Linked DNA regions of Alligator mississippiensis. The protein of the gene in region 2 interacts with the protein of the main gene of each other region in a pairwise test. Links are inferred from orthologs where the notes say so. Each region holds a gene or a part of one and is shown on either strand. Other genes may lie near its edges.

Region 1 (15,879 bases), on a different chromosome or scaffold from region 2:
TGCTCCTTCCCTCCCCTCTCCCCACATTGGGACTTCTGTTGCAGACAGGTCTGAACAGGTCTCACTGTTCTCAATGGCAGGTGACAGAACAAGGAGCAACGGGCTCAAATTGCAGTAAGGGAAGTTGAGGTTGGATATTTGGGAAACCTCTCTCAATAGGAGGGTGGTGAAGCACTGGAACAGATTACCCAGAGAGGTGGCGGCATCTCCTTCCTTGGAGGTTTTGAAGCCCTGGCTAGACAACGCCTTGGTTGGGATGTAGTTGGGACTGGTCCTGCTTTGACCAGGGCGTTGGACTAGATTCATAGATGTTAGGGTCGGAAAGGACCTCAATAGATCATCGAGTCCAACCCCCTGCATAGGCAGGAAAGAGTGTTGGGTTTAGATGACCCCAGCTAGATGCCTATCTAACCTCCTCTTGAAGACCCCCAGGGTAGGGGAGAGCACCACCTCCCTTGGGATGTGACCTCTTAAGATCCCTTCCCACCCTCATTCTATTTAACACTGTTCTGAGTGAGATATTTTAATGGTGTCTGCATTGCCTTTAGACTGAGCTCTGAGGAGCCATCAGTGCACTAACAAACACACTGGAGACAGAGCACTTACTGGCGCATGCCCAATGCTTTGTCTTTGGCCAAGATACAGTGGAGAGCATGGGGCAGGGTTTTCTTCACCCTGGCCAGCAGGTTCTTTTCGGACTAGCATGCGTTGGACACATTTCCACACACCCCACTTCCCTCCAAATCCCATTAGACATGAGGGCATCTCAGAACAACCACAGCAGTAAAGGCAGGCTCACACCTTGCCACTACAAATGTAAGGCATATTTGAATATAAGTGGCAGTCTCCTCACCTTTGCTATCCCAGGTTGCAGGCTGCCTAGAGTGCAAAAGCATAGAACGGGAGACAGAGCACGGGGCTCCTACTGTGCCAAAGCACAGACCCACAGGGCAGGAAGGGCCTCGAGAAGGTAGTGAAGTCCTTCCTCCACCTCCAGGCCCAACTGCAAATAAACTATGATGATGATCGAACCCTGGAGCATTTACAGCAGAGGAGCACGAATTACTTCAATTAAGAGTTTCAAAGGACACTAATATAAAAGCAGATCAGCTCCCTACTTCCAGGATACTTGAAAGGCCAAAGGCAGTCCAGTCTCCTTAGCTGGGACCAAACAAAAAAACGACACAATACAGAAAAATTACAAAAAGGAGGTGGGGGGGAATAAGTCCGACTGGTTAAGTCCACAACCAACTAGAAGCAGCTCTCAAATCACCCTGCCATGTTTTATGGCTTTACTATGACCTTTTTCATTCTTAAAGAACTCTCTCTCTCTCTCTCTCTCCACCTGTCCTATGCTGCGCAAGACTGAGGTTAGGAAGGGAACCCAGCTGATTATTTTGGGAAACAGCAGAACTGATAGACACAGTGACACCAGTGGCTAAAGAAAGACTGTACTTCCATAAAAATAATGAAAGAGCCCAACAGAACTCAAGGCTCTGTCAGGCTGGATGCTGTAACCACTAGGAGCAAGGGAGCCTCTGCTCCAGAGAGCTTACACAGTCTAAACAAGACAGGGGGAGGGAGGTGTAATCTCTTCTGGGGTTTTGCATTATCACCCGGCACTGCAGCAGTGAAGTATCTGCCGAGCAGTGACAAAGAAGATGAAGAAATGAAGCTCAGAGAGATTCAGTGACAAACCCAAGACCGCAGAAGTGGGAGTTTGGAGCTTACCTGAACAGGTACTCTGAAGACAAACAAAAGACAGGGCAGACTGGCAACTGGTTCAGACAGGCATAAGCTTTCATAGGTGAAACAGGCCACTGCCTATGGAAGCTTATGTCTCTTTGAACCAATTAGTCTCTAAGGTGCCACCCTGCCCTGCCTTCTGCCTGAAGAGGTGCAAAACCCCTCCTGGGACGAGGACTGTGTCTACTGGTTAGCAGCAAGCCTGGAAGAGTAGTGGGTGCGCTCCAAACTCAATCACAATCAGTACATGACTCCCCTCTCCCACCAACCAAGTCAAAGGGCTAGTATCTGTACCAGTATACTATGCCTAAGCTCTGCTAAGTTGTCCCATCTCAAGCTAGCTCCTGCCTCTTTGTTATTTGATAAATGTGAAGCTCTTGGACACTGAGGAGGAAATAAAAGCATGATTAGATACCAACTGAAGCAGTCAGAGTCTAGCTGGTGGCCTGGGGTTTGCACTTGACACTCACGCAGTAATTCAGAGCTGAAGCACTGAAACATTAAATCATGTCTCTCATCTGCAGCAACAAGGGATCTCCGGAGCTATTAAGTCCAGTTCCCTGCTTACACAGACTAACGCATTATAATCCTGCTCATAACTTTATCGAGCTTCATCTTAGAAGTCATTTTTTTACTCTCTCCAGGCTAACTTACAACAGGCCTGACGTTTCCTGGAAGACGCCCAAGTAAAACAAGGATCTTGCACAAACCTGCTCAGTAATACAGCCCACATGGGAGGAGAAATAGAAGATTTTGGATAATCTCAGCCAAATGCCTGCAGTGTACACTGCAACTGGTGCTTAAACAGCGACTGGGAAAAGGGAAGATTTTATGATCTAACTGAAGAAGGTTAGGGCCACTCTTGTAGGAACAGGCAAGGACAAAAGCACACCAAGAATACCTCCTGGTTAAATGTGTTGACTGCTCTGAATACCTACGGCTTCCTTCCTCATAAGAGAAAGAAAAGTCTAGAGAACATACCTCCCTCAGATACTTCATAAAATCATAAAAGCATGAGCGTTAGAAGGGACTTCAGGAGGTCACATCTAGTCCAACTCACTGCTCAACACAGGACCGGCCCCGACTACACCATCTCAGCCAAGACTTTGTCTAGCTGAGTCTCAAAAGCCTTGAAGGATGGAGAGTTTGGAACCTCATGAGATTTCTTTTGGTTCAATCCTCCAATTTGTTGAGGTCTCTCTGAATCCTAGCATCCCTCCAGTGCATCTACTGCTTCCCGCAGCGTGGTGTCATCTGCAAACTTGCTGAGGGCACACTCCATCCCATCTTCCAGGTCACTGATGAAGACTTTGAACAAAACTGGCCTCAGCACTGACACGATACCAGCTGCCAACCAGACACTGAACCACTGAATCCAGCCAGCTTTCTATCCACCTTACAGTCCATTCATCCAGCCCGTACTTCCTTAGCTTGCCCACGAGAATGCTGCAGGAGACCGTATCAAATGCCTTGCTAAAATCAACATACACTACATCCACTCATCTCCCCGCACCAACCGAGCCAGTCATCTCATCACAGAGACAATCAGGTTAGTCAGGCATGACTTGCCCTTGGTGAATCCATGCTGACTGTTCCTAAACACTTTCTTCTCCGAGTGCTTAAAAATTGATTCCTTGAGGATCTGCTTCGTGATCTTTCCAGGGACTGAGGTGAGGCTGACTGGTCTGTAGTTCCCTGGACCCTCCTTCTTCCCTTTCTTAAATATGGGCACCACGTTTGCCCTTTTCCAATTGTCCAGGTCCTCTCCTGATTGCCATCAGTTTTCAAAGATGACGGCCACCAGCTCTGCAATCACATCAGCCAACTTCCTCAGCACCCTCATGTGCACTGCATCCAGCCCCATGGACTTGTACACATCCAGCGATTCTAAATAGTCCGTAGCCTGCTCTTTCACCATGGTCGGCTGCTCACCTCCTCCCCAAACTGTGCTGCCGGGTCCGGTAGTCTGGGAGCTAACCTTGTCTGTGAATACTGAGGTAGAAAAGTTATTGAGTACTTTGGCCTTTTCCACATCATCACTGGGCACATCTACATGTTCAATTAACGCAATACAAACTCCGGCACGTATCACACCAGAGTTTATTGCTCCCAGGCATTGTGTTTACATGTGCACCTGGAACCGCAGCACGTTGAGCCGGGTCAGAGCAGCGCCAGGTGGCAGGGGACCCGGGAAGTCAGCCTGCCAGCCTAGGGCTGCTGCAAACCAGCTCAACGTGCTGCAGAGGGGATGGCTGGGACACGAAGATGCTCCAGCGTGGAGTTAGCCAGCAGGCAGCCCCTGTACTGAAGCATCCTCATGCCCCAGCCAGCCCGGTCCCAGTCTACACGTGTGTTATGGCAGAATACTGGACTCCGCTGCAGGATAATGCTCGTATATACAAGTACTATGTTGCGGCAGAGTAAATTAGTTTAGCGTCACACATGTAGACACTGACGTTTTACTGCGGATCTCATTAGGTAGCACTGCAGTAAATGTCTCATGTAGACACGCTCGCTAGGTTGTCTCCCCCATTCAGTAAGAGACAGACACGTCCCCTGATCTTCTTGTTACTCACATCCCCGTAGAAACCCTTCGTCTGACACTTCACATCCTTTGCTAGCTGCAACTCCAGTTGCAACTGGCCTTCCTGATTTCACCCCTGTGTGCCGGAGCAATGTTCTTATACTCCTCCCTAGTCGTTTGTCCAAGTTTCCACTTCTGGAAAGCTTCCTTTTTGTGCATTTATGCAGACACAGAGCAAAAATGCCCTTTGCAAACTCCAGGTCCTTCGTACAATGACTTGACCGTGGCTGACTGTGAAAGCTTGGCCAGACCTACGCATGAAATTTAAATGACCGAAGTACAACAACAGTGCATCTTGCACAAGAATGCAAGATCATGACTGGCACCATGCGAAATGAAGCAATCCCAATTGATCTCATCTCCTGCTCTAGTTGCAAATGTACCCAATGTCTTATTATGTAAAACCATTCATAAATAACTGCATCTCCCTCTGTGACTGTACCCTCCTTGTTGACGCCTCCTCCCTTGATTAAAACATATTTCTCAAAACAGGGAGAAATACGTTTGGGGTTTTGCAAGCGTCTCCACAAACCATTACCGGGTTCAGAAAATTTGGGGCTCTGCCCCACTGTTCAAACAATTACCCCAAACAGCGGCAATGCCCCAAGGTGTCACGTTCAGTCAATCAAGACCCACCCCGTTAGATCCAAGCGTAACCTCCAGACAAATCAAAACGTTGCAGAAAACACGCTGCGCAACGAGATGACCCAAAACAGGATCCGATCTGCTAGCAACTGTAATACGACGGCCCCTCCCTACCTGCTTTGTTCGGACTTCAATCGACCAACTACCCAGGAGGAATGCTTTGAAGCTATACAATTCAAGAGTTGAAGAAGGAAACAGAGCTGCTGGCAAAATGGGCTTCAAAAGTGAGAGAGAAAAAAAAAATCAGGGCAGCATTGCAACCTGCACCCAGCTGGTCACTCTCACCCACGCCGCCGGTGCCGCTGCAAAGACTGACACCGCTTCCTTGCCTGTACTGGCGAGAGACACCGTCGCGCCGAACAGATACCGGACTTTTGTGACAGCTCATTTACTGAATATTGGGAAGGAGTTGTTTCCTGCCCTCCCCGCCTGTCATTTAGTTTTACGGCTTGCTTGTGGTATAGTTATTAAAGCCTCTCTATTAATCAAACAAGGGGTCGTGCCAACCCTTCAGCGCGCTAGGTTCGAATCCCGCTTTTTGCAACCACCGCCAAGAGCCAGTAGTTAAAAAAGAGGGAGTGAAGGTCTAAAATAGAACAGAAGAGGGGAAAAAAAAAAAAGGAGAAAGCGGCGCTTGACCGAGACGCCAACCTCCTGCAGCGAAGGTTTAAATTAGACTCGGTTGCGGCCCGGCAAACCCTCACACCCGGGACTCGAACTCACAGCCTCTGGCTGGAGCTACCAGCAGATGAAGACCCAGGAGCGGGAGAGGACACCCCTCAATTGCCCCCCAGGGCACAGCCCACCCCTCCCCCATCAGAGCCCCCCCTCAATGCACAACCAACCCCTCCTCCACCCTCCCCAGGGCACAACCCCCCCCAAATACCCCCTCCACCCCCCCATCTCAATGCCCAACCCATACATACCCCCCTCCATCCCCCCCCCAGGGCACAGCCCCCCTCAATGCACAACCCCAGACACCGCCCCTCCCCCCCACGGCCGTTACCTCGCCCCCGATTCAAACCGCTGCGCCACACCCCGCCCCCCCGCGCCCTTCCCCATTGGCTGCCCCGGCACTGACGTCAGCTCGCGCTCACGTCACGTGGCGGGCGGCGGGACTCCCGCTCCCAGCAGGCCGCGCGCGCGCGGCGGGCGTGGGTCTCGCGAGAAGGAGGGGAAGGAAAGGAAGGACTCGGCTTCCCGGCGTGCCGCGCGGCTCCTGGGCGGGGTTCGGGTTGCCATGGAGACGATTATGCGCTCCGGGGTGGAGGGGTGGGTGGAACGCAAACCCGGGCTGGGGGCTAGCACGTGTGAACGCGCGTGCGAGGGGGCCAGTGAGTGTGCAAAGCCGGGCGCGGGAGGAGCGGGTGTGCGAGGCAGATGGTGAGTGGATGTGCAAATCTGTGCTGGGGGCTAGCGGAGAGTGTGCAAATCCGCGCCGGGCGCGGGCAAAAGCAGGAGTGAGTGCGTTAGCGAGCGTGCAAATCCGTGCAGGGGGCAGCAAGTGTGAAAGGAAGTGTAAGGGGGTTGGTGGCACGCGTGCAAATCTGTGTGGGGTGGTGGTGAGTGGGAGCACACGTGTAAGGGAGGGTGATACGCATGCACATTGGTGCAGGGAACTAGCAATGCGTGAGTGTGCAAATCCACAGTGAGAAATGGCAAGTGTGAAAACAAGTCTAAGCAGGTTAATGAGTGTGTGAATCTGTGCCAGGGGGGCTTGTGAGCATGAAAACAAATACAGATGGCCTGGTGAGCGTGCAAATCTGTGCTGGGAACCAGAGCGGTGAGTGTGAAAACTTGCACTAGGAACTAGCAAGTGTGAAAGCGAGGGCAAGGGTGGTGATGCTCATGCAAAGCCATGTTGGGAGCCAGCTAGTGTGAAAACCAGTGTAAGGGAGCTGATTGTGCAAATCCATGCTGGGGGCAGCTAGCGTGAAAACAAGCATGCAAACTGCTGAGTGTGCGAATCTGTGCAGGTGTAAAAACAAGCGCAAGGGAGCTGAGGAGTGTGCAAATCTGTGCTGGGTGCCCGCAAGTGTGAAAACAAGTGCAAGGGAGCTGCTGAGCATGCAAACCTGTGCTGGGAGCCAGTGAGCGTGAACGCAAGGGTAAGCGGGTTAGTGAGCGTGCAGATCTGTGCCAGGGGCCGGTGAGTGTGAACACAAGTGGAAAGGGCCCTGTGAGCGTGCACCCCCCGTGTGTATCCTTGCAGCGCGTGAGCAAATGAGGCCCTGTCAGCCTGGGTCTGGCCCAGGCCCGCTCTGGGGCCTAGCCCCTCTCCTGCTAACCAGCCGGGGGAGTCTCCGGGAGCGCGGGGGGCAGCACCAGCCCGGGGCAGTCGTGCCCACTCATGCTCTGTCTCTCCCCAGCATGGCCGGGACGCGGAGCTGGCGCTGGAACAGCTGCAGCCCCTCGCTGCGGGCACCGCCCCTGGACTTCTCCTTCCGAGGCATCAGCTTCCTCCAAGGTGCGGTTTAGCCCCTGGCGCCGCCTCGTTGCAGGGCACGAAGCCACGGCAGGGCGGGCACGGGAGCATCGAGGGGGCACCCCCTGCACACCCGGCTGCCCGGTGCCACATGGCCTCCATGGGGCAGAGATGAAGGGGAGGGGGGGGCAAAGGGACTTGCCCAAGGCGGCACAGCGCACCAGTAGCAGAGCTGGGAACATTGCTTCAGGTGCCAGCTCAGCGCCTCAACCACAAGGACGCCACATTCCCTGCAAACCTAGGAGCAGCCCTGCCCCGCATGCCCCGGGCTCTGCGGGAAGCCAGGCGTGGGAGTGGAGAGTGCACCCCGGGGTGCTCGGGCACAGACGGGGCCTGGCTGTGCCCAGCCTCCCAGCCAGCCGTCTCTCCCCGCTCCCCAGACCTGCAGACAGAGGAGCCGCGGGCCAGCCCGAGGACGATCCCATGCTCAGCGCGGGGCCGGATGCTGACACGGGCCGTGCGCCTCAACAACAACACGCTCAACGAGCTGACGGACCTGGGCCCAGCGCTGGAGCTGCTGCTGGAAAACCCCGAGGAGCTCTCCTGGCTCGACCTCTCCTTCAACGACCTGCCCACCATCGACCCGGTGGGTGCATGGGGGATGCAGATTCTGGTGCCGGCCCCAGTTTAGACCACCTGCTCTCTGTGCCTCATTTTCCCCACCTGTGAAATGGGTGCAGTGTGCTGGAGGTCGCTGTGCCCCTGCTGCAGACTTATCCCAGACCCTCCAGGAGTGAGGCAGGGGGAAGAGCAGTAGAGCCAGATACCGCAGAGTAACCAGGTGGGGGTGGAGATGTCAATGGGACAAAGCCAGACCAGTGCTGAGCACCACTGGCTGCGCACCCCTTGCTTCTCTCAGTCAAGGACCATTGTGGGGAGGAAGGGGGTCTTTCCCTATCCCATGCCTCACTTTCCTGGCTGCCAGGAGGGGGGCGCTTTGTCACGGGGCCTCCCCATGTGCCCCCACTTAACCCCCAGGCTTCGGGCTCTGCAGATCCTGACCACGTACCGCAACCTGCACTGCCTCCAGCTGCACGCGAACAGCATCCAGGGCCTGGGCGAGGTGGACAAGCTGGCCGTCCTGCCCCACCTGCGCAGCCTCACGCTGCATGGCAACCCCATCGAGGAGGAGAAGGGCTACAGGTACCCAGGGATGTGCCCAGCCCAAGGGATTGCTCTGCCTGCCCCAGCCCAGAGCATGGGGGCACAGGAGCCAGAGGGAGGGGAGAGGTCAAGGGCCACCCCTGCAGACTCCCCCTGCCTCGCATGCAGCCCCGCAGAGGGGGTGGGTGTCGCAACACTGCCCAGGTGCCCCTGCCAAGCTGGGAGTGGGCACAGGACATGCTCATCCAGGCCTCTCTTGTGGCATCGCAGGGCCTGGACTGGAGCTTGCTAAAGACTAGCTCTCTGCCACGTTCCCCAGCAGACTGCCCTGTGACTCCGTGTCTGTCCCTCCAAAGCAAAGTGCCAGGCTGCAGCGGGGCCACTGGCTTGCAGGCCACCTGCAATCACGGCTGGTGACTGCAGGTGCCAGCCCTGTCCCTATGCCCCACAGGAGCTACGTGCTGTCCACACTGCCCCAGCTCAAGTCCTTTGACTTCAGTGCCGTGACGAAGCAGGACCGCTCCACCGCCGCCATCTGGAAGCGCATGAACGCCCAGCCGAAGGCGGCCAAGAAGAAGAGAGAACATTCCTGAGGAGGCCTCAAGCCGGGCACCACAGCTGCAGATCCACAACTGGTCCATGGCCCCCTCCCCAGCCTGGAGAGCCTGAAAGCCCCATGGGACATAGGAATAAACCCTTCGCACCGCGCTGTGGAGCAGAGCGTGAGTAACCACGGGCTGGGCTGAGCCAGTGCCAGAGAGCTGGGGCTGTCTTGAGAACAGAGGTAGCAACGGCAAGGACCCAGGTGTCTCAGGCTCCTGCTTTAGCCTGAGACGAGTCCTACTTGCACTGTGGCAACCCCCATCTCCAAGGCAGCTCGAATCCTGGAGGGCAACAACCCACCAGCACCACGCACCTCCAGAAAGCTCATGTACGTGCCCTTCGCCATCTCGAGGAGTTTCCTAGCAGCCCTGGCCATAAGCCCATGACCAGAAGTCATGATCCCCTTCCCAGCACAGCAGCCCCAGAGACTGCTGGGCAGAGGCACAAGGCAGGATCCATAGCCCAGAACCCACCCACGTGGCTTGGTGCAGAGTAGGGGAGGGCCAGTAGCCCAGAAGTACCTTGCCCCAGGATCCAGCCACAGCAAGGACGCTGGCCCCTTTCCATCCACCCTGCCCTTAGGCAGCCTGTCCCAGGCTGGCAGGTGCCAGGCGTCATTCCCTGGGGTGCAGGTAGCTGGCAGAAGCCTGTAAACCACAAGGCTCTTCCCTGCCATTTCAGCCCCTTTCTGGCTAAAGCCACCCCCAGCTCCCTGCTTCCAGCAAGTCGCAGGAGCTGCCCCTGCCAGCCTTGCAGCTGCCCAGGTGATGGGGATACATATTGCTCCAGGCAGCAACTGCAGGGAGCAGAGCAAGCTAGCTACCAGAGCAAGCTACCAGGCTGGGGATCTGCCTCTCCCCTATGCAGCCCCAGAAACAAAGGACTGAGTGCTACAGAGAAGGGCATGGGACCCCGTAGGCAGCGAGGGGACGGGGTGATGGGCCCTACTGGGGCTAGTTTCACTCCTCCCTGGCACAACAGAGCAGCCCTCCTGCTGCTCCGAGTCCCAGCAGCTGGCCCAGGGCCACAGGAGCCAGCAGCATAGCCGGGAGGGGTAGAGGGGTGCAGGACTCAGCTCTGCGCCTGGCTGAGACCAGCCCACCCAGAGGGAAGGCGCCTTCCTGCAGAGGCTTCTTAGGGCATCGGGTCAAGGAAGAGCTCCAGATAGGGCCCCGCACCCACATTAAGGCACCTGCCCCCCGCAAGGGACTTCTGCCACCAGAGCCTAAAGGTCGCCAGCTGGGACGAGAACACAGGACCCAGAGCAGTGGGGGACATGAGGGTCCCAGCCCAGCCCCTTGGATTCGCGTGCTCCTGCCTGCTCTGTTGCAAGATGCTGCCCTGAGAACTCAGCTGGAAGGGCATCGTGCTTGGTGCCCATGTACTCTGCTCCTGCCACCCTGTGGCAGCGTCCTATTAAACACTCAGCAATGCACATGCATCTGGCTCAGACTTAGCCCCCAGTGGCAATGACCCATAAGGCACAAACACCAGCCTGCCCTGCCCGAGTAGCCCAGGGGCTGCCCCCAGGCTGTCCCAGCACCCTTGCTCCCGGTTGAATCTGAGCTCATTTCACAAGGGCAGCTGCTGCTAGGTTCTCCCCCTCCCCAAAAGCTGCTCCTAAGGTTCATTACCTTCCCTGCTAAAACCTGCCCCTAGCTGGTCTGTGTTGCTCAGTGAAGAACCTGGGGGTTTCCCCCTTCCCTCCCAGAGGCTGCCAGGGCTGGAAGAATTTCAGAGCATGAGGCTCTGCCAGTGCCCAGCCACATGTGCTGGGGGAGACGTAGGCTGCTCTGCTCCAATGCAGGGAGCTGCAGCAGTCCTGCCATTTCCACCTATGGCTGGGTCTGGATGTCCAGCTGAGATCAGCCACCTTAGCGCATGGGGGTCTAGGATCAGAACCCAGCACCTGCAGCCATAGCCCAGGCTTCTCCACTGCAGAGTGGAAGGACTGCTCTAGAAACGGAGCTGGGGGACATTTTCAGCAAAGCAGAAGGTGGCACAGATAGGGATCAGGCAGCCAGGAAAGCAGAGCCTGGGAATTGGGTTTCTGCCCATGGGAGCAGTAGGGCAGGGACCCCTTGCTTTCATAATGCAGCTTGATCATTGCGCTCACACCGATGCAGCTGCCCAAGGTAGCCAGGGACTGGGGCAAACCCCTGTCTTTGCCTTGCTGCCTTGGAGGGCCGGTTCCCCCAGCTCTGAGCTGCAATGTTGGCCTGGGGAAGGGGCAGGGGGCACTGAAAAAAGCTGGGCACTCCTCCCAGCGGGCAAAACAAGCACAGAGACATTCACCGACTATCACAGGCCCAGACTCTGCTCAGGCAGCAGGCCAGAAGCAGCACAGGGACACAAGGACAAGCAACTGTGATGGGGGAGAGGCATGCAATGCTGCTGACACAGGGCAGGGACTCGCACTCTCCTGCCTGCCTCATGCCCAGGCCTGAGGGTGCCACTGCCCAATGGCAACAGCAGAGGCTCAGGGGATGAAACAGAGAAGCCAGCGCTCCAGGCCAAAAGCAGAGTGAGACCCACCATGCTGAGATGATCCATACCTGGTCCAGCACCACAAATCTAGTCTTTCCCAGGTATCCTGCTCTAGAAACCAACACAGGCCTCCTGTCAACAGCACCTGGGTATCGATGATTGCAATCCCCCTGGCAGCTGCAGCATTGGCACCAAGCTTATCCAGGGACCAGGAAATGAGTTGGCACAGAAAAGGGCCAGCCAGCTAACACAGGCTGCAGAAGTCCAAGGAGATCAGACCAAGTGACCACCTCCAACAGCAGCCAAAGCAGGGACCACGTTCCCAAGTCCTCACTGCATCCCTCCATCCCTCGAGCGCTGAGGGAGCTCCTGCCTCGCAGCAGGGAAAGAACACAGCAGGGACCTGGGGCTGAATGAAAGGGCTTTATCTACGGTGCCAAAAAAAAAATTAAAAAACAAAAACAACAACAAAAAAAATCCAACTGAAAGGCCCGGGCGTGTGGAGCCGCGGGCGTCAGGCAGACAGAGCTCTGCGCGGAGCGCCACAAGTGGGGCCCGCTCCATGCCTTTGTCACACACACACACACACCAACCAGCCCAGCCCTCCAGGAACATACGAGGGCCTGGGGGGCATTGTCTCAAGTGCAGCATCCCCTGAACCAGCAGTTGGCAACTGGGAGGGATACTGAAGCCCACCCCCACCTGCCAAGAGCCAGGAGTCTGTCTTGTCCCCAATCTTTGAAACAAGGGCACCTGGGGGCTGGAGAAATGCCTCCCGTTGTGCTCAACAATACAGGCTTCCTATGAAATACAATATCCCCCCTCCCCACCGCTATGCTGGCCTGCCCCCCCACACACACATACATGAGAGAAAAGGAAAGCCTGGGACCAGGTCTGGCCTCCTACAGCAGCGGGGCCTGGGCGATGGTGCCGGTCTCCTGGGCAATTAGTAGGAAGTGGGGGGATCTGTACAAGTTCTGTGGCAGCGAGGCGCCCGTGGGAGAGAGGAAGAGGGCAACAGAAAGAGCGAGGGGGTGCGGGCAGGCACGGGCGCCAGCTCAGGGGATCCCGAACTGCACCACGAGCTCCTCTTTTGCATCCACGTGGATCTGTGAGAGTGCGCTGAAGGCGTAGGCGGCTATCCGGGACACCTGGGGACAAGCAGAGACGCACATGAAGGACTGTGATGGGAAAGGGAAAGAGAACCATACCCCAAAGACCCAGTGTTTGGCTGCAATGCCAATGACCGAGGGGCCTTGGCCTAAGAGGGCTGGTCACTGCAGCAGGGGCAGGGAAGGGAAGAGGCAGGTGCATTTCCAGGCTGTACCCACCAAGAGGCAGCTTGAATAGCTTGCTGGTCAGCCTCTCCGCAGTCAGTGACTCCAGGCAGTCAAGGCCCCAGCCAAACATCTCCCCTCCACGGCTGCAGCTACAACCCATATAGGGCTCTCCATGTTGTCACACCCACCCCCCCCCCAGCCTCCAGTCCCTGGGAGAATGAGACCCTGAGCTGAAGCTGCCAGGTGCCTCCCTTGACCCTTGTGATGTACAGAAGTCTCAGAGCCCTCGTGGCAGAGCTGGCTGGAAAGCAGGCTCGCCTCCACCCCCAGGGGAAATGCTGCCTGTTGATAACCCAAGCACATGGAGGGTTGGGGTCAGCTGCAGTTGCAGATAGCTGCCCAAGCACTGCCTCAAGTGAGGGAGAATCCAGCCCAGGACCTCTTGCCCTATGGGGAAGCAGGGTCACGAGGCCCAGCAGAAAGCCCAGGAGCCGGTGTTCTCCACATAGGTGCCAAGGAAGAGGTGGTCAGATATCCAAATATCTAAGATAAGGAAAAATATCCAAGATAAGGAAAAGGAGGGTCATTTATGGCAGCCCCGTGGGGCTTGTGGCTTCGGGGCAGTGTGTTTCTGGTAGGCGGCAGGAGCAGCAGCTGAGGATGGGAAGTTTAAGTCTTTGCCCCAAGGCATTTTACAAATGCACACAGGGTTTCCACAGGAAGGGTGCTCAGCTCCTGTCTCAGTCACATCCGAGGGGACGGGGAAGGCTGGATTCGGCTGGAAATGCACAGCGGAGTAGAAAGCAGATGACAGCAAGAGTCAGACTCAAGCTCCCCCGACACAAGAACTGCTCCAAACACTGCTCTGGTCAAGTATCGTGACCTCTATCTCTATCTGAACGATGCCTTTTTCCCCAGCACAGCTCCCACAAACACTGTGCTGGGCTCAGCACTATTCAGCAACAAGTGCCACCAGGCTACCATTGTTTCTGGCTTCTCATACAGGTACAGACCCAGCCAAGGCCCACGGGGGTCAGAAATCCCATAGAAGCCCAGTCCAAGCAGGTCCGCACAAACCTTCCTGTTAACCTCCGGTGACAGATGCAAGCATTCACCTTGCCTTCCTGGTTTGATCGTTAATGAGCTTGGCCCTCTAATGAGACAGCAGTTTACAGCTGCTAAGCAGCCTCACATGGGTGCAGTGGATGAGGGACAGCTGTCTCCCTACATTGCTTCCTCCTAAGTCAAGGCCAGCAGGACTTCGTAGGAGCCAAGCCGTCTACAGCCATGTACTGTGGCAACTAGGAAAGGCAAAGAAAAGCAGGACTGCAGGCACCCAGTGCAGTCACTGAGGCAGGAGCATCCATAGGGTTGGTTTTAAAGTGCTGAAGGAGCATGCAGAGCCCAGGATGTTTCTCCAGGATCAGCCACATGCCTCAGGCCTTGTTCTGCCCCACTGTGGTGTGTGCTATGAAGCTTCTGCTCCGAGTGATGCTGGGCCTCTGCTCCTGGGACAGGATAACAAAGGGAAGGTTTCCAGATCACCCCGGCATAAGCAGGAACGGGACCACAGAGCTGAGCCACTGGCTTTAAATCAGTGGTGTCTTCACCCCTCTTGGGTTGTGGCCATGACACACTTAATTCAGAGCAAAAGTGGAGCAGACGCATGGTGCACAGCCCTGCCACACTGGCTTAAATCACAGGATTATAAGAAAGTCTGGCTGGAAGGGATCTCACAAGGTCATCTAGTCCAGCCCCCTGCTCAAGGCAGGATTGTCCCTGACTAAACCATCCTAGACACATGTCTGTCTATAAGATTGTAGGGAAGTGGGGCCAGAAGGGACTTTACAAAGTCATCTAGACTAGCCCCATGGCCAAACTCTCCCAGGAAGTAAGGGGCAACTACTCCCATATAACCAGTCAGCTTCACCCCAGCAGGGCATTTCCTCCACGCCAACAGGCTATGGTCCTCCGCCTGCTAGAGGCGAAGCTCTGCAACTGCCTCTACTACACATATCTCTGGAGGGTCGGCTGTGCATCTGCTTCAGACACCACCACTGTCTTGCTCTGGAGGAAAACCCTAGCTAAATGACCCAGAGGTAAATGCAACTGCACTCTTAGAGCATGGACACACAGCACACTTTCAGAAGGAAAACAGAGGGTGGCATTTCAAAAAGGGCAGCAGCTAGTACATTGTTACCTCTTCATCTTTAACTCTGGAGAAAGGAGTGGAGTTGGAGCAGTTCTGCTAATTGTTTTTGGCTCTTCCACACCTAAGTCAGACTGCACCAGCCGCTGCCCTTCAGAAACAGTTCCTCCTCTGAAATGAGATCCATGCACCTGTGTCCCCACGCTTCCCTCTGATGAGCTAAGACGATGGTAAGGGATGAGCCTGCCCCTTCTTGGGCAACCCAGTTGCTCAACAGGTAGTGCTACAGAACCTCTTCCGCCTGGCCAGGCCTCTGGAGGCGGTGGGTCATTGCTCAGCTCTGCAGACCTTGCTGTAGGGTGTTGAGGCCCAAGGAAGAATAAATTCTGGCTCTCAGGTGTTAGGGGAATTTGTGGCAGTGAAACCAACTGAATAAGAGCCCACAGTGTGCAAAACAGGCCAACAGCATCCTGGGTTGTATTAACAGGAGTGTCACATGCAAGTTGAGGGCAGTGATTCTTCTGCTCCATTCAGCACTGGGGTAGCCTTTCATGGAGCACTGTGTCCAGTTTTGGGCCTCGCACTTCAAGAAGGATGTGGACAGATTGGAAACAGTCCCACAAAGAGCAACAAAAATGGTTAGAGGCCTGGAGAAGCAAGATTAACAAGGAAAGGCTGAAAGAGTTAGGGTTACCGAGTCTGGAGAAAAGAAGACTGAAGGGGGATTCGATCACGGTCTTTAAATACCCGGAGGATGATTATAAAGAGGATGGGAGAGACTTGTGTGTGGCTGTAG
Region 2 (15,678 bases):
TAGGAAGTGGGAAATACTTATTAACTAGATGATTAGCTTTTTGCTCATGATGTATTGGGTATATTTGCATATCTAAATTAGACTGCAGTCTCCTTAGAGCAGAGACCTCATCCTGGACATTTTCCAGGCCCTACAGCTGCCAATGGCACCATGTCTGCAGAAACTCAGACATCAAAAAAAAAATCAGCAGAGCAGATGCTGACCAAAGCCAGCCCCATCAGTACAGAGAAGAGGAGCACAGCTGCAAAGCCGGTACTTTGAATTACAGAAAAGCAAAGCAACATCTCTTACGTGGTGTCCTCCCACCGCTGCAGACACTGGCTGTGGAAGCTGTGGTTACACAAGGTGGTCAGAATCCCATTGACAGACTCATCCATTCTCTCCAGGCACACTGTGCACTTTGGGAGCTCGGTCAGATCCATTACAGGAAGGCTGGCTCCCTGCACAAGAAAAAGGGACACAGGCTTATTGCTGGACCTCCTCCAAGCAAGTTGTACAGCTAAAAACTGCACTCTGAACACAAAAGCCTAAATGAACCGCTATGAATCCTAGTAAAATTATAGGCAGCCTAAAAATTCTACCAGAGGTAGCAGTGACTACCCTTTGTGGCCATTTTGACACTTAGTCTGGCACCAATTAGAGTACACGTCTGGGACAGTGCTCATGAGTTCTTCCTACACCTCCAAGACCAGCTATGTCAAGGACATGACTCTGACAACACCCACAAGTTCCATTCCCAGCTCTGATGCACTCCCTCTGACCAGTCATTTAATTGCAGTTTGCTTCCTCCATGTTTTAAACAGGATTCACATCAACCTCTTAGAGGGGTGTTGCAATGATCAGCTTGAAATACTGAGAATTAACTAGCTAATAAGGTGTGAGGAAACACATGCCTCTGGGACTAAACATACATCTTCCTCCCAGCAGGCCAAACGTAAAGGATATTTAGCCGCACTAAGCCCTATTCAGATTTCAGCAGAACATAACTGTTCCAGAGAGGGAGACCAGGAGATTGGATGTATAAGGTCCCAGAACTTCAGAAGGCAGGGTTGCTCCCCTAAATGCAGTGCTGCAGTGGCAAGATGCAGTCAGACTTGAGGCAGTTAAAGGTCTGCAGCCCCTGCAGACAAGCCTGCCCTGTCCAGCTCCAGCTAATCCTATTAAACAGCTTGTAATACAGTCTGGAAAGGAAACTTACATCTTCTGATTTGAAGACTTCAGCCCTCTCCACGTACACCAGCTGGCAAACGTCTTCTTCTATGGAGTTGAACTGTCGGCTGTTGCATGCCATATAGAAGCTGTCTGCATCTGCCTAAAAACAGACCAGAGGAACAAGACTCATACTACCTGCAGCTTACATTACCAAGCAAGAAGGAATGAGAATTAAATATCCTCTCTCCCACCGCTCCAAGTGCCCAAACAAGCATATATCATAGGTAAATCTCTTGATGTATGCTAATCACTATTCCATCTCTGCATTGGATTCAGCAGTTTTCAACTTAAACTGGCAGAAGAACTGAAGAGCTCTCAGCACTGGACACTTGCAAACATACTGCTCAAACAGCACTAGCCAATTTCTTTCTTTAATATCAGCTTTGTCTGCAGTCAACAATTTTGGCACTAACTGAAAGCAACTGCTGTTTCTTTGCAAAAGCCTGGAAGAAAGACACTGCCATCAGAGGGCCCTATTCAAAGGGATCAAGATTTGTACAGTATATCATTTACCTGCAGAAAAAGCTCAAATGCTCACTCTATGCAGATGTGTACTGAAGCACTTCATACCAGAGCATTACTTGAAAAGAAGCACTGCTGACTGAACACAAAATAACCCATCTGAGTTATTATGGATGAGCCACAACATCTCAAGTGCTGGCTTATTACAGTCAGCAATCCAACCGTCAGGAGGAAAGCGAGCTGGAAGTCAAGGCATTCTCATTCCTGTCTCCCAATTCTTGAATGATGAAACATGAAGCTGTTCCAGTTTCACCACACACCTTACTGACACACTTACACAGAAATAAAATGTAGAGCAACTCAAACGTGCTTCTGCTGCATGCAGAGATGGCTGGTGAGGGCCTGCTGAAGCAGGGAGTCCGCCAGTTTTAAAAGACAAGTGGGAAGTTGTCTTGAATCAGTGGACTGGGCAAAAACTCTGTTGAATTAGTACAAAGATGGTTGGCATCAGACACTGCCCCCAAGTGAGTTTCTATGAAGGGGGCTTACTTTAAATAGGCTTGTGGGATTTACGTTGTGCACAACACAGGAGTGTTAAGCTTGTAACAGCTGAGGAAGAGACCCACAAGTATCTGGTCATCTAGTTCACTTCAATCTTACCTCCCACCCCCTTCTCACAATTCTGGGAGGGAGGGAGCAACGTACGCATGAATGGTCAGTCCCTGTGACCGCAACAGAAGTATAGGCTAGATGGTCTAATAGCTCCTTGCTATCCTCAGTTTCCATAGGAACTAATGCTGTCACAGAGATCAGGCTATTTCTTGGTCTGCTAAGACAGACTGCACAATGCATTCATATCTTAGTGAGCATCTGTATTTGCTTATTGCATTCTCTTCCACAGGGTTTTTAATGGGTGAGGTATTGAAGTCAGGCAGGATTTGTCTAGATCTTAATACTCTGCTGGCTATGATAAAGCAAGTAGTAAGCCAGGACGTGCATAACAGCATTGCAACTGTACAAGTTGTAGGTCTATGATGAAGGCTAATGGAGGGCCAGCATCAGTATCACTTACAAAAACCCCCCCAACATTACATCACAGGAAGCCTCTCATAGCAAAGGCCCATGACCTCAGGAAACAGCAAGCCACTAAAACTGGACAGCGCCTGAAATTAGTGTTCACACAGCAGCCCATTTCCCAAACAGTAGAAACCTGGCACCACACTTCTGGGCTTTACCTGTGAGCTGAACTTTATCAATACCATGTACTGGTTCGGAGTGGAATCCCGGATGATTTTCATATGCTCAATGACTTCATAAAACGGGGCTACAAACTTCATCAGGTCATGACTGGTCATGGTAGCAGGCACCGTGAGAATACAGAGCATTGCACTGCGCCTCACATCTTCTTTCAAAGAGGTCATCTTACTAAGAAGACAATAAAGTAGATTTTTAAAATTGAGGAAGTCAAGACTGACATCTTAAGACCAGCTTACACAGGAGACCATACAGCAATTTCATGCTTCACAATTTAAATGTACCTGTGATTGTAAAGCTCTTTGCCTATTTGTACACAGTTAAAGGGTTAAAAGGTGGTTGTAACAAGTCTGAAGACACCCAAAAGGTACTTAGTCATCTTTAAAGAAAGGGCTCACGTGTGCAACCAACAGATATTGACCCACAGTACATATTCTGATAGCTGTATTTTTGTAAGAGTACCTGGGCCTTGCAAACCACAAATACTCAAAATATTTCTAGAGTAAACAAGCAATATTGATTACTGATGTAATAGCCATTGTGTCCTGGCCACGTTCAAGAACATCTGAAATTGATGGTTCTCATTCAGCTCCCTAAGGGAGGAGATACGATTATGCCATCACTGCAACAATAAACTTGGGAAGTGCAGACCTTTGCGTTCATTTTAACGTTCCAGGGGAACATGAACAAGGAGATCTTTGTCTGTGGGATCCCCTCACACCTGATCTTTCTAGGGCCATCTTCCAACTGGTGTTTTTACTCCCACTGCTTACATGAACACTTGCTCTCCGAGACATCCTCACCCACAGCTGGAAGGGTTGGGCTTAAGTTACTACCATCAAAGCAGCTACGCAAGTCAGACTACACCAGACACTGTCTATGGTGCCAATACCCCAGGCTTCCTGTGCGTCATTGCTCCATCAGTCCTGTAGCAACAGCCCTAGTGTTCCTGACTCACCCTTCTGGATGGCAAGAGTCCATGGTGCAATTCCCACTAGATCTATAATGAGTCAAATACATTCTTACTTTGTTTTGTACAGGTGCATAATGCCATGAGCTATTTCAACTGATGGGTTCCCACTGAAGAAGGAAATCTGGTCAGGAAGTTGTTTTGATGGCGAGTCTGGAGCAGCCTCACATTCTTTACTCTGACTGTCATGTTTACTTGTGTCATCAATGGATGAAGCTTCTGCAGATTTTCTTCCTTCCATTGCAGCTTTTGTCTCATCTTTTACAAATCAAAAGTGTTCAGATTACTGAACCACACATCAGAAACTTCAACTGCATTTTAAGTGCAATCTTATGTACAAGAGAGGATTTAGTTATTCAAAAAGTCAAATTATGACACGTAAAGCACAGAATAAATTATGTGCTTCTAAACAGTGGTCTCCTCGCACTGAATAATCAACAGAACTGAGGCATATTTAGGCACCAGTTTGAGAGACCTTTTAGCTGGGTCACGGGCGCTGCAAACCTAGTCAGACAAGTTCTGAAGGGTGCCAGGCTGAGTTTTGCAGTATGCTACTTTGTTATCCAACAACTACAAGTTAATTTTTTTATTGCACTTAACATAAAAGCAATCAATATAGTTAGGATAATCCCTGTGCTTAGTTTTGCATTGCTTCGTTTTCAGTTAGCTTTCTATGCTGTGCAATTTTAAGGGCAGGGTTAAAAAAAAAAAAAAAAAAAAAGTATCTCAGTGGCACAACTGAGAGTTTCAATATCCGCCTGCTATTCAAAGAAGATAGTTACAAGAGGTAACAACACACAATCAAACCAGGGCACGCTCAATGTTGCAATTTGTGACTCGCAACATTAATGCTCTTAATCATTATCAACAAGCCATCCTTATTTAAGAGAAGTTTTAGATCAGATTTTGGGTCTATAAACTGTACTGGCATCACTTCTCATGTCCTTAAAAGGCAGGATTTGCATTTACCAGGAGCTCAGCAGCTTAGAAAGTCAAGCCAATTTAAATGGCCAGCAGAGACTCCCTTTGCCTGATGAAGGGTGACTGTGCCTGAAAGCTTGCTAAGAACTTTTCCCCCAACTACTCAGTAGGTCTGATAAAGATGATTATCACATCTACCCAAAGAAACTTGCAAGCAAATTTAATACTTTTAAGAGAATACCCATATGTTAGACTAGTAAAAACCTTACAGGCATTACAGACCGATTACTGGAACACCTTTTTCAAGTTTTAGAACGGTTACCTGGGTCAAGCTGTATCGTCTCAATGATCATATCCGTCATCTCTCTGCGGCCAATATGCTGGTGAATAATAGCTGCTTTTTCCACCAGCGCCTTTCCTTCTAAACAGGCTGAAGCAGAAGCAAGCGACTTTTCTTTGATTTCCTCATCAGACATTTGAGTGGCTAAGGAGGAAAACAATTAGCTACTTAAACAATGTGATCCGGAGCAAAAAACAAGCAACGCCAGTGGAAGGAAGGCAGAGCAGGCTTCCCTAATAACAGCCATTAGGTCTCTACCAGGTCATTACAATAATTCTTTAAGCTGCTTTTATTCCTTCTTCCGCAGAGTAAAACCATCAACCAGAGGAGGGGGGGAAAAAAAAAGTTTGTTTTGCTGCCACACACGTAACCCTTGCGACCTGGCACGCGGTGGTTTGAGTGCGGTAACCAGCCATGACATCTGTCAGTCAGGGGAAGATCTACTCTGTCATAGACCAAAAAAGAGACGCATTAGATGAGCACAAGAACATCGGGACTGCCATTTCCTGGGTCAGACCCTAGATCCATCTTGCCTGTCCCCCACGCCACACGCTGGCAGCAACGGATGCTACACAGGAGTGACGAACTGGGTCTGAACAGAGGTTTTTTTCCCCCCCTACTTCTTCTCCCACTCACAGCCTCCAGCATTTCAGGTCTGGGAAGCTCCGATTGAGGGGCCGCGCCCCGCGCTCCCCAAGCTCAACAGCCACAACAGACATCGCTTTCCTCCAAGAGCGTGTCCCATCCCTTCGCGAATCTGGCTAGACTCTCAGCTTCCAACGCCTCTGCCGGCAACACGTCCCACCCGTTAATGACCCGCTGCGTGAAAAACAACATCTCGCCTTCCTTCCACGCCGGCTGCCTGCTCGCCTCCCGTTGCGACCCCTCGCTCTCGTCTAGACAGACTCAACCCTACGCCCCGACCGACTCCCCCGTCGCCATCGGGCGCTTTACACGCCCGCGTCGCGTCCTGCGTGAATCCGGCAGCGCTAACCGAAAGCGGAGATCTTCGCGCGGGCCGGGCAGGACGCACTGGGGAGTCGATATCTCACACACGCGAAACATGCCCCCCCTCAAGGGAACGGGCCTGGCCTCGTCCATCCCTCCCGCTTCGGCTCTCGCGGGTCATTTGGGCAGAGGCGGGCACGGGACCCGCTGTGACGGCAGGGGTGGGCCGGCTGCTTCTACCAGCTCCTCCGCAGAGCGGCTCCGGGTTTGTGGGGGGCGAGTCCTGAGGGGGCTCCCACCCCCTGCCCCCCGCTCACCCAGGGGCACGGGGTGGGTCTGCTTCGACACGGGGACGAGGCTGGGAGCGCAGAGGCAGCAACAAGGGACGCACAGAAACCACCTAGAGCTGCCCTGCCTGAGCAGGACCCAGCACAGGGGAGACCCTTGAGGGGACAATGCTCCCTCCCTCACCAACAACCCCCCACTCCCCCCCCGCCGGCCCCTGAGGGGACAATGCCCCCTCCCCCCCAATGCCCCCCACTCCCCTCCCCCCGCCGGCCCCTGAGGGAGGAGGCCGCGGCGCAGGGCCGCACGCACCGGCCGCGCTGTAGGCGAAGGCGGCGGGCGGCGCCGAGTGCTCGGCCAGCTCCAGCCGGATCACCACGAGCGGCACGCTCATAAGGCCCCGGGACGCCGGGCCCGAACGGCACCGGCCGAGGCACAGCGGCGGCGATTATGAGCCGCTTCCGCCTCGGAGACCTCTGACCCCTGACCCCGCGAGGTCGCGCACGCGCGGGGCGGGGCGTGTGCGTGCGTATGTAGTGGGGGCGGGAACGTGCCTGGTCACGTGAAGAGGTGGTGTGCTCTCGCGAGAGTCGCCAGCAGGGGCAAAGGTCACGGGGTTGCCTTGGTGACGGGCAGGCCGCAGCATGGGCCTGCGCTGGCTGCTGCAGGTCTGGGGGTCGCGCCGCGCCGCCCGCCCCTGCCGCGCCGTGGTCTTCGACATGGGCGGCGTGCTGCTGCCCTCCCCGTACGCGTGCGCCCGAGGTGAGTGCCCGGCCCCCGTCATTCCCCCCCCCCACCCGGGGCGGCCGGTCTCCAGCAGGGCTGGACGGGGACGGCTAACCACGACCTCCTCGCCGCGCAGACTGGGAGGTGCGGAACGGCGTCCCGCCCGGCACCGTGCGGCGCGCTGTGGCCTGCGGCGGGCACGACCGGCCCTGGATGAAGTACATGCGGGGGGAGCTGACGGCGGACGAGTTCGTGCGAGCCTTCGCGCGCCAGTGCTTCGACATCGTAAGCCCGCCGCCCCGCTTCCCGCCTCTTAACGCCTCTCTCCGGCCTCCGTAAACCCTAGAGACGCCGTAGCACGCGCCCGCCGCGCCGCAGGCTTCACGCTGCTCCCGGCGTCGGCACCCCTCGTGTCACCGGGCGGGTCGAGAAATAAAGGAGCTGCGAGCTGTTTCCCGTCCTAGCGTCGTCCCCGGACGCCGGCACCTCCCCCTGTAGAGCTAGTCGCCGCAGGAGCTCCCGGGCGCCGTAGCGCGAGCAGCGTAGGCGGCGAGCTCTGTTACAGGGAGAGGCAAGTGTTATTTTCTCTGTAAAGAGGCTGATGAGCGTTTGGGGGGTGTTTCTCGCTCCTCAGACAGGCTCCCCCGTTCCGGTGGACTCCTTTCTCTCCGACCTCACCAGCAAAGAGATGTCACAGCAGCTCCCCGCGATGACCGAAGCGATACGGCGCATCCGGGCAGAGGGCCTGAAGACAGCGGTTCTGAGCAACAACTTCTACCTGCGCAGCGGCGCGAGCTTCTTGCCCCTCGACCGAAAGCAGTTTGATGTGGTAAGCCCAAATGTGCTCGGACGTATGAAAGGCACCCGGCGCGATACTGGAGAGGCAGGTGCCGAGCTAACGACAGTGGTGATAGCAACGCCTCGCGCGCTAGTGCGACGTGTGAGGCACGGCTCTTGTAACAGACCCACCGAGCGGGTTTTAGGGAGTAGCGGGCGCCTACGTTTTCAGTGGGTCGTCGCAAAGCGCCGGCGTACTGTGTAGACCTGCTTCTGCTTATGTACCGTGCAAGAGGCGCAGAAGATGAAAAGCTTTATAAGCTAGCAGAGAGCAGATTTAGACTGGACATTAGGAAGAACTTCTTCACAGTTCGAGTGGCCAAGGTCTGGAACGGGCTCCCGAGGGAGGTGGTGCTCTCCCTTACCCTGGGGGTCTTCAAGAGGAGGTTGGATATGCATCTAGCTGGGGTCATCTAGACCCAGCACTCTTTCCTGCTGATGCAGGGGGTCGGACTCGATGATCTATTGAGGTCCCTTCCGACCCTAACATCTATGAATTAGCACTTTTACCCTTTTGAAGCACTCTCCACCTCGATCGGTCTGAAAGCACATTGCACGTGACATACAGGCTGTGCCTGGTGTGGTGTCCCATAGCTGGCCAGCTGGCATCTTCCCAGGGGAGAGAAAGGACCATTGTGGCTACAGTGCAAGCCTCTGCCCTTAGTGCAGGAGCTGAGTGGGCTGTGGGGAGTCAGCACGCTGGACTTTTGCATATGCATATCGGGTTTTTTCCCCACTGGAGGTTGCCGCTGTGTGTCCCAGAATCCAAGATTCGGTCTAGGCAGGTAGAAGGCCTGGCCCTGGCGTGGATGAAGAGGGATAGATCAGTCCTACATGAATGTGCTCTCCTTTGCGGGGTAAGCTAATGCAGGCACCGTGCCGGGTCGTGGGCAGCTTTGTGAGGTCGGAGCTATTGGATGCTTCTGAACTATGGCTGTCGTGTACGAAGACAGTGATCTTTCCTCCACCACGCGCTGGCTGCTAGAACATTTGCTCCTCAATTTTCAGACAGGAGCCTTCCTTGTTGTTGGCTCTCAGTTAACCACTTGGCTTCACGATCATTTTAGCTGCCTTGTGGCTTGTCTTTTTAGACCTAAGTCAATAATCAGGTGTTTGCTGGCCTGTCATTTTAAACCTGTCTGAGCTTTCAGCACATTCCGGGCTCGGCAGGGACCTTTGCACTCACTGTTTCCTCACGTTTGTTTTAACCACAAGTTATACCTCGTTCACGCACGTTTACTCGGGGCAATCATGAGTGCTCTCCGGTTAGATGAACTATTCGGCTTACTCTAGATGTGGCCCTATTCTTTCAGATCTACTCCTAATACATTAAGAGGAAAGTTTAGGTACTTTCAGTTCAGCCCCTTCTGAATGACATAACCTTGAACACAGTCCTCTTTTGCTGTGTGCGCCAGCAGACCTCTAAAAGTTTGGCCTTGTTTTATAGCCTTAATGAGGCAGGGGGAAAAAAAGCGTGTGTGAAGAAAAGTCACCTTGTTAACATAGGGATTATTTTCTGTTCAGTTTTCATAGCGAAACTGGCCTCTTAAAATACCCTATTCTAATGCTGTATTCTGTTTCTGTAATGCCTTTTCTTCCACACAGTTTCAGAGCACAGAAATGACTCCATATCCTGTGCACAGAACACACCCTGCAATGAAATGTCACCACCTGTGAAATGCGGTTGCTGTATAACAGCTTCCGGCAACATGAGGCAATACTAATATAGGACAGGAAGTGAAGGAGAATGTATGCCTTAGCTCTCTTTCTGCAGTGCCTATCAATGTGGTCTCTAAGCAATAAGCTAATATTGCATTCAATTCTAAGCAGAGTGGGAATTGATGGAGACAAATGTTCTTCTCTAGATTAGAAGGGGGTCAGAAACCCTGGGCCTAAGGTCTCTACCGCTGGGATGGCTGATAAGTATCACAGTCAGGACTGTACTTTGTATTTCCTCTCACAGCAGTACATGAGCTGCTGGTTTAGCACTGACTCTGGGGGAAAGAGGACCATCCACCGTGTCTATTCACAGCCATATTCCTTGATGGCTCTCCAGCAAGAACTGGTTGGTGCTGCTCAACCTGTGCTATCTGGCACTGTCCCAGCTGAGGCAAGAGGCAGCAAAACACTCATTCAGCTGCCTGGGTCAGTTCCTTCCCACCCTGTAAGGATGACAGCGAGCACAGCCCTGCCAGCACCCTGCCCCTTGTTCATTGTGCTACACAGGAGTCTCACACTTACTCGTGCCCTCTGTTCTTACAACTTCCCTGACGTTCGTGAACAGGAATTGTGGTGGCTTTTTGTGGAACCGCTTCCAACATGGTTGGTTTTTGTTGTAGATAGTCGAGTCCTGCCGGGAAGGGATATGCAAGCCAGACCCTCGTATCTACACGTTGTGCTTGGAGCGTTTGGGCATCCAGCCAAATGAATCCATCTTCCTGGATGATATTGGCCAGAACTTGAAAGCGGCAGCCCAGCTTGGCATGAACACACTGAAGGTACAGAGCAGCACTGGCACAGCCACCTGGGGGTTTGACTTGAATGGGCTGCGTATGGTTACCCGAGTCTAGCCAGACTTGCGGTATTTCATTCGCTGCCCATGCCCATAGTTTTGTTTGGCAAGTGAGCGCTGTCGCTGCAAGGCTGAACAAGGGTTCACTGTCAGGGTCTGAGTTTTCAGGCTCCATTCCCCGCTCTGCCTCCAACTCTGCACAGCCTTGTGCATGTTAGTTATCTTCTCTGCGTCTCAGCTCCTCGCCTGGGAAAGAACAAAATTTACCCAACAGAGGCCTGGGAGACTGACCTCACTTTGGAAGCGAGCTGCGTGGGGGCTGATTGGCTTACAGGGTGAAAGAGGGTTTTGCTGAGGAGAAGGGAGGTGGAGACGGAGGATGGGACCCCTGGAAGGACCGAGTTCTGCTTCCCTCTGGCCCTCTCTCTGGGGACATTCACACACATGTCCCAGCCTGTATTTGCAGTGCAAAGCCTTTTTGTCTTCCAGGGGAAGGGCTTAAAGGGCTGCAGAGAAGACACATGGAAAGAACAGGTGCTCAAAGGAGACTAAAGTAGCCTTAGTTTTGCCTTCAGCGCGTGGTCGTCCCAAATGACCCATATGGACCAAACAGTTGGAAGTTTTTTACCCATTTACAACCTAACCCTCCCTCTTGCCCCAATATCAGGTCGATGATCCAGAAGTGGCTCTCAAAGAGTTAGAAAACTTCCTGGGTTTCCCTTTGCGGGGGGCTGTTCCATTCACTCGCTCTGTGAGGCCAACCATGGAAATCCCACAAGTGCCTCTGCAGAAGTACCTGGAAAATGTCCTAGGCAGCCACACAACAGGTATCACAACTCTCCTGCCCTACAGCCCTAAAGATTTGTTGTCTCTTTCCTGCACAAGACTAACGGGTGTGTAACAATCCTAACACTGACTACTGGGATGTAACAAAGCACTCTCATGACTTGAGCACCTTTTCATACTCTTTTCAAAAGGCTGGTCTGTTTGAAGCGTTCTCGGTAATGCTTTCTGAGATCTCATGTGTGATTCTGCCTCATTCTAATTCCAGACGTTGGAATTAGCCTCATTCTAATTGCCAGCACCATGATTAGCTGGAGTGCAGAGGGGTGTGCGGCCTGGCCAGAAGCCTCTGGGTACAAGGCCTCTAAATGGCATTTATTAGAGTGGGGTTTTCTTTGCTCAACCCTTGTTAATGGGTAAGAACCAGTGATTGATGCTGCTGGCAGGCGCTCACTGCTTGGCCAGGGGATTCCAGTCGCTGCCATGGCCACGCAGCTCTGGGACTGCCTTTTGGGACCAGAATGAAAGTGCCTTGTCATCTAGAAAGCCTTAGATTAAGGCAGGTTTTAAAGCAACAGTGCCAGATCCACTGTCATTTAAATATGACCACTTGCTGTAGCTATGCTGCTAACCACAATGTGGACTATTCTGAGAGAGAATTCAGCGTCTATCATTTCCCTTTTATGATTCAGGCAGGTTGTTTAACCGGCTACTTCACTCTGCTGCAGCATCGTAAACAGACCGGGAAACTTTGCTGTTGTTTCCAGCCCATTTCACTTCCATGTCTTCAAGCCCTGGCTGGATTGTGTGAGATGTGGAAGGTGAACGTTGCAGGGATATGCTTTAAAAAAAATGCCTCTTTCATTTCAATGTCAAAACAAATCACGACAATGTTTCCTTTGGCACTGGGCTTTAAGAACCTCAAACGCTGAGTCTCTGCTGACAGCTGGTCTCTCTTTGATAGTTGGCTTGGAGAACCAGTTCATAGAAAAGGCCCAAATGCTTGTTTTCCCCACTGCCCATTATCCCTGGCACCTGAACCAAACCAGACACTTTTAAAAGCTCAGGATTAGTTTGGATTTAAAAAAAGCCAACCAGTTTTTAAAACCTTCAGGAAGTCCTTGTGCCTTGTAACTATTCCAAAACCAGTGCCTATTCTGCTTCTTTCATCTGCCCCTGATTTCCAGACTCTCACTACAGTTTAATTCATAGATTTCATAGACATTAGGGCTGGAAGGGACCTCGGAAGATCATCGAGTCCAGCCCCCTGCCCAAAGGACAGGAAGTCAGCTGGGGTCGTAGGATCCCTGCAAGATAAGCATCCAGTTTCATCTTGAAGGTGTTCAGTGAAGGCGCTTGAACCACCTCCGGTGGCAGGCTGTTCCAGACCTTGGGGGCTTGGACAGTAAAGAAATTCTTCCATATGTCCAGCCTGAAACGGTCTTGCAGTAGTTTATGACTGTTTGACCTAGTTGTCATCCCTTGGGGCGCTCTGGTGAACAAACGTTCCCCCAGATACTGGTGGTCACCCCTGATGAACTTATAGGTGGCCATCAGATCACCCCTGAGCCTTAATGTAAGGACAGGGGATCGTTGACTTAGATGCTATAACCTCACGGGTCAGAGGCTTTGGCCAAACAAAGACACCAGTGTTACCTAAATGAGAGTCCATTACGTTTCTGCTCTGTTCCAAAAAGTGACTCAGAAAAACCACAGATCAGATGTGCTCGGTTTTCACATAAAAACATGAGTTTTCTCACCGATCAGAGCCATGATGGAGTCTCCTGGCTCCAGATATCAGAGAGACATAGGTAGCCATGTTAGTCTGCCATCAGGCAGAAGGCTGGGTAGATGTGCACCTTATAGACTAACTGGATTGTATACATATAAATTAGTTCCTGTATCATCTGTCACCACCAGGGTTTTGCAGTGGGGTTTTAGTTGGCAGGCCTGTCTATGAATTTCTCTTGCCCACGTTGGCAAAGTAGGAATAAGATGCAACAAAACCCCTGCTTTTTGTCTTTAAAGCCAGCAGCACTGGTCAAGAACTCACAGGGAACTAAGTCAGGAGGGGCTGTTTTCACCCTCTCCCTTTTCACGCTGACTGCACTTTAAGCTGGTGAAGAACTCTTGCTGACAGCACTCACAGCAGCTTACTGAATCGGAGTAATCGGGGCTGCTAGTTAATCACTGGAGCGCAAGTGGAAGATGGGAGGGAAGCCAGGCCAGTAACGAAAGGTTCAAAGTTCACCAGCAGCTGCAGACCTCCACCAGGGAGCTGGCCTGGGCTGCTGCTGGAGCTGTCTCCCTTTGCCCCTTTGGCAATAGGCAGAGAGGTTCCTGTGGCACAGGGCACAGGCTTGGGGCCTAGGGGAGGCACAGCCATGCAGAGGGATCAAGCAGAAAAGCCCCTGCAGAACACAGAGCAGTCCCAGGCTCCCAGACGCCCTGCCTTGACTTCAGCAGGACTCCAGGCGGCCCTCTGGCTACCTGTGTAAGTCAGTGCCCTGCAGGTCTGGGCCGAGCGTACAGCCCCTTGCGCGAGAGAGCTCACTGCAGTAACCCAGGCACAGAGATACAGACCCAAGAGGCAGCAGCAAGCTCTGCCTGGGACACAGCCCCCAACCCGTTAGCTTTGCTAAGTCTGACTGAGTGCGCCTCCCCCCTCCAGACTGCAGCCGGAGCATCCTGGTCCTCAGCAGGCCTTTGGTTCAAGTCAGCGATGCTCAGCCTCGGCTCTGGCCATTTTAGGCTCCTGTTCTTTGCTTTCCACAAGGCCTCTGCTTTGGAATTTGCAGGTTCTCTGCTCATCCGGCAGTTTAGCCATGGCCAGTCGAACCCGACGTACTACGTGGAGTACGGGGACCGCCGCTTAGTGCTGAGGAAGAAGCCCCCAGGCAAGCTGCTCCCATCCGCGCATGCTGTGGAGAGAGAGTACAGGTGAGAAGATGGTGTACGCACCTGGATGGGGGAACATGGGAGGGCTCCCTCTGGACTCAGCCCTTCTGCACTGACCGCTGCTTGTCCCGGCAGGGTGCTGAGGGCGCTGGCGGAGTCCGGCGTGCCTGTCCCTCGAGCGCTGGCCCTCTGCGAAGATTCCAGGTGAGCGTTTTCTCCGCAGCTCAGCTGTGGGTGGGACAGCAGCTGCCGTGGGGACCCGGGTTATGACGGGGTGCAGGAGACAGCAGCTCATGGCCCTGGCAGGGAGGCCACAGTCCCAGTCAGGCAGAGGGATGTGCATGGACAGCAGCTGTTAGGACTCGGGCACTGCTGTGGAAGCAGAGGGACATCAGGCTTGCCCACAGAGGTTGTGGATGACAGTGGAGACAGAATGGCTGCTGTTCCTGCCTTGGTGAGGGATGTGGCTTTGGAACAGGATGGAGGCGAGGTTTTACCTATAGAGGGGGCCTCAGAGGCACCCCAGAGCCTCTGATCTCGCTCCTGCCCTGATGCCACCTCGGAGCACTGAGAGTCCCAAAGGACAGTCACTAAAAGGCCTCTGCTTCCCCTGCCTCCCAGCATCATTGGCACGCCGTTCTACCTGATGGAGTACTGCGCCGGCCACATCTACAAGGACCCCTCCCTCCCCGGGCTGGAGCCCAGCCAGCGCAGGGCCATCTACGCTGCCATGAACCAAGTCCTTGCTCAGATCCACAGCGTGGACCTCAAAGCAGCTGGACTGGAGGATTATGGGAAGCACGGTGAGAAGGAAACCCGTGGGCATTGGGGTGCTGGCATGGCCTTCTGTTGTGTTGGGGACATGGGCCAGATCTGGACAGCGCTGGGGCAGGGGAGCTGCAGAGGAGGTGGGACTGGTCCTCAGGCCCGTCGGAGCCGCCTCTCCCAGCTGCTGGGGATGCTTCAGAGGTCTGCGATCTCTGCAGAGTCGTCCAAGCATCCTACCAGTGCTTGGGCCTTGCTGTCCGCGACAGGGCTCTTTGAGCTCTCAGCAATGCTATCTCGAGGGCTCGGTTCCTGCCGAGTTGGGAGCCAGGACGCGGAGCTGGTCTTTTGTTTCATGCCGCGGGGTTCTGTAACCAGTCAGAATATCACCCCCGTCCCCGCAAGAGATTGACCCCATGCCCAGGTGCGAATGTGGCACCCCAACCCCGTGCCACAGGAGAGCAACACTACAGGAAGTGACCTCCCCTCCTGAGGCAGTAACAACGTGGCTGCCTTGCTATGGAGCACCTGGCCAGAGCTCCTGTGCCACGTCCTGCCCTGTCTGGCTGCGGCTTCATCCTGCAGAGTCGCAGGAAGGTGACAGACATCCCTGCTTCCCTGGCCCTGCCATAGCCTGGGCCACCAGGAGCTTTCCCCAGCTCTGCTAGGGCTGGCCCTGGCCCGTGGCAGCAGTGAAATGCTTGATCATTTGGCTGGAGGTGGGCCAGCTTTACTGGCTCTGGGAGGGTTTCCAGCAGGTCTGTA

The links.
Region 1: the proteins of BRAP (region 2) and NUMA1 interact in a two-hybrid assay, tested with the Homo sapiens proteins (2 studies listed by BioGRID and IntAct). The link is inferred for Alligator mississippiensis from reciprocal best matches to the Homo sapiens genes BRAP and NUMA1.

The regions. Positions count from the first base shown.
Region 1 is NC_081824.1:477,664,469-477,680,347, forward strand, and holds the start of NUMA1 (nuclear mitotic apparatus protein 1), read right to left. Parts: upstream 6,001-15,879; 5' UTR 5,982-6,000; intron 1,797-5,981; exon of another isoform or gene 854-1,796; intron 1-853. Other genes in the region: LRRC51 (leucine-rich repeat-containing protein 51), read left to right, coding at 6,216-6,358, 7,345-7,442, 7,841-8,046, 8,455-8,603, 9,016-9,157; ragulator complex protein LAMTOR1, read right to left, coding at 12,713-12,805. UniProt on the Homo sapiens protein: Microtubule (MT)-binding protein that plays a role in the formation and maintenance of the spindle poles and the alignement and the segregation of chromosomes during mitotic cell division.
Region 2 is NC_081833.1:3,672,504-3,688,181, forward strand, and holds the start of BRAP (BRCA1-associated protein), read right to left. Parts: upstream 6,893-15,678; 5' UTR 6,787-6,892; coding exon 6,705-6,786; intron 5,304-6,704; coding exon 5,142-5,303; intron 4,157-5,141; coding exon 3,955-4,156; intron 3,100-3,954; coding exon 2,910-3,099; intron 1,313-2,909; coding exon 1,199-1,312; intron 441-1,198; coding exon 292-440; intron 1-291. Other genes in the region: ACAD10 (acyl-CoA dehydrogenase family member 10), read left to right, coding at 7,037-7,154, 7,255-7,403, 7,753-7,947, 10,295-10,453, 11,135-11,294, 14,049-14,190, 14,284-14,352, 14,770-14,951. UniProt on the Homo sapiens protein: Negatively regulates MAP kinase activation by limiting the formation of Raf/MEK complexes probably by inactivation of the KSR1 scaffold protein.